Linked DNA regions of Caenorhabditis elegans. The protein of the gene in region 1 interacts with the protein of each later gene in a pairwise test. Each region holds a gene or a part of one and is shown in the gene's direction. Other genes may lie near its edges.

Region 1 (4,419 bases):
ATCTGAAATAAAAATTTACTGGAATTTCTGGAAGAACTACATATTTTCTGTTGAGTATTTTTAGATACCTCATGGCGAGCGGCATGGCATCAAAACTGTTCTCGTTCTCCTTGGCCAGATTCTCTCCGACAACATTCCCGAGCTTTTCTCCAGATGATCTATTGAGGCATTCTTTTGCCAGTGTAGAGTCGAATTTATCGCCGGTTCTCCGCTCATCATACATTAGCCACGCATCAGATATCTGGAATTGTAGTGATGGATTTAACATTGTTTTTAAAAAACTTACAATTGATAGAAGAATATTCGGTGACTTGCAGGCCATGAACAGTGACTGGCAAGCAACGTGAAGAAATTGCGCGTTGATTTTTGGATTTGCACGAGAAATAAGAACTTTGGTAGTTTCTACTGATGGTGCAGGTATGTGAAACTCTACAACTGGAAGATGGCTCAGATTAATGTGATATTGGTTCAAGCAGGATGGTGCACTCGTCACAAATCGAATCGTTATTTCTTGTATAGCTTTGTAAGAATCGAATAAGCATTGTAATGGAACAGGAGGATAGTCTGTTATCGCTTGTGCATTATCAAGAAAAATGACAATTTTTCTATTAGTTTCGTCTGGCCTGAAAATATTTAAAATTTAATTAACAAGAAAATACACTTACCATTGGACATATTTATACAGGTTATCGCAAAAATTCTCAGCTCTGTCACCTCTAGTCTTGAAACCTAAACTCGATGCCAGTGAATCGAATAACAATTTCAGCGATCCATCCGCATAGAGGAAGTCTCCAAGCACACAAACCTATAAAAATAGATTGTGAATTTTGAAATTGTTTGAAATTTTTAATTGTTTTGAAATTGAAGTTGTAAAACACGAACCCAATCGTTTTCAGGTTTTCTCAGAAGTTGACGAACAATTTCACTTCTTCCGCTTCCATCTTCTCCGAAAATGTGGACATGAGAAATAATTCGCGAGTTGTTAAATAAGAGCATTTTTAGACGTCTTATCTCACAATTTTCCATTTTGCTAAAAATAAAAAACTATGATATGGATAAAATGACTGATTTTTCAGCCTTGAAATAAAAACAAAAAAAACTTTCTTCCAGTAAAAACTGTTTTCAAGTTGGCGGGTATTCAATGGAGCAGGTTTACTTGGCTAAACTAAGCGCGATGCGAAATAACGGAGTGTCGTATTGCAGCGCGAACCTTGAAAATAAAATCATTTGCTCTTGAAACTTTGCGATTATTAAAGTTTTGATCGGATCTCCCTCAATTTTTCGGCGCCAAGAATTTATTTTTTGCAAAAACCTTCAATGGAACGATTATTTTCCAACGCAGGTTTCCCTATTTGAATCTTTGCCACATAGACCGGTTCATTTTATTCATTATTCGATTCTTGAACAAAAACAATCTTTTTTTCTTTGGCTTATCGTTATCAAATACCTAACTTTGGAGCTTTATTAATATTCTAGGTTCATTTGTAATTCATCTTTTAACGTCTGTTCTTCATTCATCCTAGGTGACATATTTAATCGATATTACCCTTCGCGATTCCCCCCTCCTACCACCAAGCACCATCTTGGTGTGGGGGAGTTGCGCTCCGTTGGACAATCGCTGCACGCGGAACATTCGAATCCCATTTGTCGATATTCTTGTATTTAGTGCAAACAATTCTTAATAGGCTCCTCACGTGACCTTAACATGTTCGCCGTGTAGAAACTATTTACACGTTGTGTTCTATTTAGATAAAATCATAACCTTTCTGTCAGATTTTGTAAAACGTCCAGTATTTCTCAACTTACCAATTTTCTACTAGCAATCAAAGGTTCTTTCTCACTTTTTATTTTATTATCTCTTGGAACTTGCAAACAATCGTTTATTGCAGCGAAAGGCCTCAATATGCTAAGAGCCACCAACAACAGACGAACATCGAATAATGTGGAAAAGGATAGCCTCCAGGTACAAGGTGTTTACAAACTAAAAACTATAATTATCATTCAGATGGCTAAGCACGGAAACGGACCATTGAAGCCCGTCAATGCGCAAGGTCTTCAGACGAAAAGAGAAGCTCGAGAGATTCTTGCACTCAAGCCATCCAATCCAGCTCCAGTCGAAACTGCGCAAAAGTCACAGAGAATCAACCTCCAGGATGCTGAGACTAAATGTCTTGCTATGGCCGACGACATATACAAGTATCTCGTTCATCACGAGAAAAAGTATCTTCTTGAGGAGTGCTTCATGGAGGGAGGAGAGCCCACTCCCAAGATGCGTCGCATTCTCGTCGATTGGCTTGTCCAAGTTCATGTTCGATTCCATCTCACACCTGAGACACTTCACTTGACTGTCTTCATTCTGGATCGCATGCTTCAGAAGAAGGTCACCTCCAAGGCGGATCTTCAGCTTCTTGGAATTTCAGCTATGTGAGAGTTTTTATTCAATTTTAAAACGTAACATATAGGGATTACTAATTGTGTATCCTTTAAAAATGTTTTGTTTCAGGTTCGTTGCCTCCAAGTTCGAAGAGGTTTACCTCCCAGACATCCACGACTACGAGTTCATCACTGAGAACACATACAGCAAGAAGCAGATCTTGGCAATGGAGCAAACAATCCTTAACTCGTTGAACTTTGACTTGTCCTGCCCATCTTCGCTTGTCTTCCTCCGCTGTCTCTCAAGAATTCTCTCCGAAAACGATGCCAGCCCAATCGATAATCAAGCTTTCTGTTATACTTACAATATCTCCAAGTGTCTCGGAGAGCTCGCACTGCTCGATTCGGTTATGGCCTCGACCCCAAGGTCCCACATTGCTTCTGCTTCGATGATCATCGCTCTTGAAGTTCATCCTGTTGACGGAATCGAGGCGGAGAATGCTGTATCGGTCATTTGGTACATTTTAAAGCTTATATTTTTATTTTAATATCAACATTTTTAGCAAACAGCTCGGAGCCTCTAAGAAAGTCATTGAGGATGCTGTCGCTTTGCTCGCCGAAGTCTCGTATAAGAACTTCAAACAGGGGAAGCTTGTCGCTATTAAGGTATTGAATCATCGAAGTATTCCAATAAACATAATTATTTGCAGAATAAGTATCAATCAAGCAAGCTTGCACAAGTTTCCAACTTGATGACCGACGACGTACTCGAGAAAATCAATCGGATGGGCCAGAATGCAAAAGTGGACGCATCAGAAATGGAATGAGCACTTCGATCCGAAATAAACATTTTGTACCATTCAGTCTTTCTTGATTCTTATGTTTCTTCCTTCATTGCTTTTCTTTTCGGCTCCTTTCCATTTTTTAACTCCTCCAGTCGTTTCCACGTCAATCTGGTCACACCCGTACATTGATTGTAAATTGGTGAACATTCGTTGAGCGACCATACACCACCTCCCATATTATTCAATTTGTCCATTTTGAAATTTAAAATTTCACTAAAAATTTTTATCACAACTTTTCGCGCCCTCTTTTGTATCGATCTCGTATTTAATTATTGAAACCACACTGCTGTAAGACTCACCGTCCTCATCTCTGTTGTTGTAACTAGAAGGACCAAAAACTTTCTGATGAAACCTATGTGCTATTAAATTTTGTTAAATGGAATTACTATAAATCATGTACTAAATAAGTGATGGAGTAGTCTGAAGGTTCTAGGGGGTCTCCTGCGCAATGACGCGACGAACTTAAACCAGTCAACAAGCATAAAAACAAGTAGGCTCCACCCACTTTAACCTTGAATTCTGTGTGCCGAACCCGGGGTCAAGTGGCTTTTCGGCCAATTACTCATCGGTTTGTTACAGCACTGGCGGTCACTTCTCGCCGAATTTTCTCAAAATGTGTAATAATGAAGCTGCAATTTCTCTGCGTATCAATCTCTAACGCTCTGCTGTAATGACTACAAAAGTGACCATCGAAAACGAGAATTTCATACATTCCACTCGAAATGGTTCATTCATCAGTTCTAATTGTTCTTTCACTGACTGCTTCTTCATCTGCATTCCTTCTAGAAGGACTCGGTTTAGGATTAGGTCCACAAAGACCTCAACAATGCTGCTGTCCACCACCTCCACCACCTCCACCATGCGGAGGCGGATATGAAGCTCCACCTCCACCACCACCACCATCATATGCGGGTGGACCATCATACGCTGGACCATCTTATGCTGGATCCTACGGACCAGGACCATACAGAGCCAAGTCAAAGAGATCAGTTGACATGAAAGCTTCAAGTGGAGATTTGTTCTGTAATAGTGTTGAAGTTAGAGATATTATCAAGAAGGTATTGCATTTGAAAGTAACTAGTCTATATTGAACATTTTCAGGGAATGACATCAGGTGAGAAGGAGTCACGTGAAACAATCACTGCTCTCCTGAAAACTGAAATGAACCGTGAATATGTTGTGATCTGCACAAAGCAGCCAT
Region 2 (4,161 bases), 2.8 Mb from region 1:
AATGTAGGGAAAATAAATGAGCCACAAATAAAAAAAAATTATTTTTAAAATAGGTTTATATTGACGATTTCAAATGCTAATCACAAAAAAAAATTCGAAAAATAATCAAAAATCAAGAATTTCGCCAAAAAATTGTAAAATTATTTGAAAAAGCGCGCCGCGGGTTTGCAAAACGACGCTCGTTTTTTTTTTAAATTAGACAGTACTTTTTTTTACAAAAATATTATAGATTTTACAACTAAAAAAATTCCAGCTTGACATTGATTATGTGGTTGGACCATTGTCATTTTGGATGCAACAATTCTCTACAAAATCTCCCGTTTCTGGCACTGGACCACAATTACCATAAATAAAATATAATAAAATACTTGTAATTTCAATATATATTCACTCTTGTCTGTATCTTTTTTTTTTTGCTCCTAAACCCACATGTTTCCTATCTATTTACTTCATTTTAGTCATGAAACCTTGTTAAACAATTTGCTATATTTTAAGGTTTTCATGTAGATTTGTAGGTTTCCCACACCCAACAAGAAATCTGATTTTTATTTTTTGGAAAAAAAAATGTACAATTAAATTGAATAAAGAAAGTTGAAGAAGTCGGCGTACACGATGCTCTCCTCTTTTGTGAGCTCTGTCAGGATTGTGAAATGATCTTCATTTTCGTATTCCTGAAACAAAAATGGTCTCGACGCGACAAATTTTTGCTGATTGCGAAAATACGTGCGCCTTTAAAAAAAGACTACTGTAATTTTCTCGAAATTTCATAGATTTTTGTTGTTTCCTCGTGTTTTATCATCCAGACGTGAGATTTTATGGGGTTTGCGTCAAAAATACCATACATGGTCTCGACACGACGAATATGAAAAGGTGTGCGCCTTTAAAGAGTACTGTACTTTTGAAATTTGGTTTTTGCGGAATTTTAAATAATCTATTTTCTTAAGAATGTGTTTTTATCGTAATATATGAGTTTTCCAAATAAAATAAATATATTTTTAAATCTACAGTAATCTTTAAAGGCGCATATATCTGTTCTCATTTAGCAAAAATCTATCGTGTCGAGACCAGGTAACGTGGTTTTGGCGTGAAACTCGTTAAAAAAATATTTTAAAAATCGTGCCAAGACCCTAAAACGGGGTTTTTTTTTCGGTCCAAAATAGCTCAAACCTTGTACTGAGCATTTGCAACTTGACTAGAAAAATCCTGATTTTGTTGGTACAACTTTGGGGATTCCCGTCTGCAACATGCGATTAACACCGGGAACCGGACATGCTTCATAAGCTCATAATCACAACTACAAGTTTCTGCTTCTTCTGAAGTCAACCCAAGATCGTGACCATAAGTCGTGGAAGTCAGTTCTTGAATTTTGTAGATGCCCGCGCTGAGGTAGGCACCACTGATTCGGGGGTCATGGATCCGTGTTACAGCTGGAAATATTTTTTTCTTTGATTTAACAAAAAAAAAGCGCTATTTTTTTGCACAGAGTGAGAATACAAGAACTTTTCATAAATTTTATTCCTGGTATGCAAAATTTATCAATCGTGGCGAGACCCATCGGCGCAGCGTCGACATGCGCCTTTAAATTCTACAGTACTTTATTTCGTTTTTGCGCGGGAAATTTTGGATTTTTTATTTTAACGCGGGATTTTTTGCATTTTGGTTCCTGATTTCTTCATTTTTGTTCATTTTTTGTCTTCGAGGACGCGTCCCAAAATTTTGCTCTCTTATTTTCATTAATTCTATCGTATTTTCCACTTATTCCGTCCATTCAAACGTCGATGTCTTCCAAAAAAATAAATTTTCAGGTAGTCTCCGTACCAATATGAGTCAAAACACCGGTTCCTCTAACCTCGGTCGCTACTACGAGAGCCCGCCAACGGCGACGGAGGCTCGTGGCACATTCGGTGGTTGCTTCAACGCCAACAGCTCCACCAACATTTGGACGCCGAATCGGAAAGTGGACTCTTCGATGGGATTTCGGAGCTCCTCACCGACACCACAGAGCGCTTGGGCTCCGAATCGTCAAGGATTTGGAGGACAATTCTCCAAATGGCGCACTTCTACACCGATGACGACTCCGGCTCGTTATCCTCAACAGGCCGTTAGACTTATCGATTTGGAGAACAACGCCTCGTTCTCGAAGTCTTTGAAGTGAGTTTAGAGTTTTCCAGTGACTTGGAGCCTCAATTTTTAAAACTTTCAAAAAAATAATCAAATTTTCAGCTCGACCACCCGCAGCCACAAATGCACACTTCCAATCTGGGCTGGCGACGGCGAGGGAAATGTCTCGGACTCGGTCACTCTTCAGGATGTGCTCGCCAACGATGCTCTCGTGGAATTTGCCACCGATAAGAATGGATGCCGATTCCTTCAGGAGCATTATCCAACGGAGAACGACAACGACGTCCACCAAAAACTCTTCCGTAAACTGGTCGAGGATCGTGCCATCTTCTTGTCGCTCTGCTCTAACATGTTTGGCAACTTCTTTGTGCAACGTGTCTTGGAGTGCTCGAACACTGAGGAGCAGGAGATTCTTACGGAGCACTTGGCTACTGATTTGTACAATCTCTGCCTTGACAAGAGTGCGTGCCGCGTCATTCAACTGGCTATTCAGAAGCTTGATGTTCATCTTGCGACTCGTTTGTCGTTGGAGCTCCGTGACACGCACCTCGTCCGTCTCAGCATCGATCAAAACGGAAACCACGTGATTCAGAAGATTGTCAAGACGCTTCCAGTCTCTTCGTGGACTTTCCTCGTGGATTTCTTCGCCGACGACGACAATCTCATCCACGTTTGCCAGGACAAATATGGGTGCCGTGTCATTCAATCGACCGTCGAAACTTTGTCGACTGATCAATATGCTCAGTGCTACCAGCATCGTGTCATTCTTCTTCGCAGTTTGATGGCTGGAGTCACTCGTAACTGCACCCAGCTGGCTTCCAACGAGTTTGCGAACTACGTGGTACAACACGTTATCAAGTGTGGAGATGCGTTGGCTGTCTACAGAGATATCATCATTGAGCAGTGCCTTCTGTATGTTTTATATAGTCAAATTTTCAAATGTATTTTTCCATTTCCAGGCAAAATTTGCTCTCAATGTCACAGGAGAAGTACGCTAGCCACGTGGTCGAAGTGGCGTTTGAATGTGCTCCATATCGCCTCGTTGCCGAGATGATGAACGAGATCTTCGAAGGATATATTCCACATCCGGATACAAATCGTGATGCTCTCGACATTCTGCTCTTCCATCAATATGGAAACTACGTTGTTCAGCAGATGATCCAGACTTGTGTTCTCGGTCAGAATGCTCGAGATCAAAAGCAATCGGAGATGTACGGCATGTGGCTCGAGAAGATTCACGGACGAGTGATGCGAAACGCCCACCGCCTCGAAAGATTTTCGTCGGGCAAGAAGATTATCGAAGCGCTCCAATCAATGTCCTTGTACTAGATACACATAGGCAATTTTTATTCATTTCCATTTGAATCCTAACCCCCACCATCACCCAACTCACGTGTATACTATTATTATTTTTATTATTATATTGCTAGAAAATTGTAGAAAGAGTATTGCAACCTCTTCTATATTATATGAAGACCCCGGCCCCCGTTTTGCACAATAATTGATATAAATTCTGTGAATAAAGAATTTACAAACTTCCAGATTTAATTGCAATATTTTGTTTAATTATTACCTTGAAATGCGAGGTGTGCTCCGACTGAGTGTCCTCCAATCACAATTTTCTTCGCATTCTTGAACTTTTTCAGAGCAAACTGGAATTTATATTTTAGAACATTTTCTGAAATATTTAAATTTCCCGCCAACCTGAACTCCTTCCAAAGCTTCAACGATCGTCTTGCTCAATACATGATCCTTGTTGGCATAGTCGTATCCCACGCTGACTACAGTGTAGCCAAGCTTTTGTGCCACGTGGACGACAGCCAAACATTTCTTTCGGTTTCCAATCTGGAGATTTTCTGTTTTTGTGTGCTCTCCACATGTTACGAGAACACAAAATTCGGAGAATGCGTATTATGTAACATATTTGACGCGCAAAATATCTCGTATCGAAAACTACAGTAATTCTTTACATGGCTACTGTAGAGGTTGTGTCGATTTACGGGCTCGATTTTCTAAATGAATTTATTTTCTCCATTTTTT

The links.
Region 2: the proteins of cyb-1 (region 1) and puf-3 interact in a two-hybrid assay, tested with the Caenorhabditis elegans proteins (3 studies listed by BioGRID).

What each region holds. Positions count from the first base shown.
Region 1 is NC_003282.8:10,733,553-10,737,971, forward strand, and holds cyb-1 (G2/mitotic-specific cyclin-B1), read left to right. Parts: upstream 1-1,889; 5' UTR 1,890-1,903; coding exon 1,904-1,963; intron 1,964-2,005; coding exon 2,006-2,424; intron 2,425-2,503; coding exon 2,504-2,890; intron 2,891-2,936; coding exon 2,937-3,039; intron 3,040-3,083; coding exon 3,084-3,200; 3' UTR 3,201-3,621; downstream 3,622-4,419. Other genes in the region: orc-5 (Origin recognition complex subunit 5 C-terminal domain-containing protein), read right to left, coding at 1-2, 69-241, 287-623, 666-805, 883-1,026; grl-21 (Ground-like domain-containing protein), read left to right, coding at 3,941-4,276, 4,320-4,419. UniProt on the Caenorhabditis elegans protein: Essential for the control of the cell cycle at the G2/M (mitosis) transition.
Region 2 is NC_003282.8:13,509,807-13,513,967, reverse strand, and holds puf-3 (PUM-HD domain-containing protein), read left to right. Parts: upstream 1-1,805; 5' UTR 1,806-1,822; coding exon 1,823-2,151; intron 2,152-2,223; coding exon 2,224-3,033; intron 3,034-3,080; coding exon 3,081-3,450; 3' UTR 3,451-3,661; downstream 3,662-4,161. Other genes in the region: m7GpppN-mRNA hydrolase dcap-2, read left to right, coding at 254-349; afmd-2 (Alpha/beta hydrolase fold-3 domain-containing protein), read right to left, coding at 573-671, 1,168-1,427, 3,695-3,773, 3,826-3,966.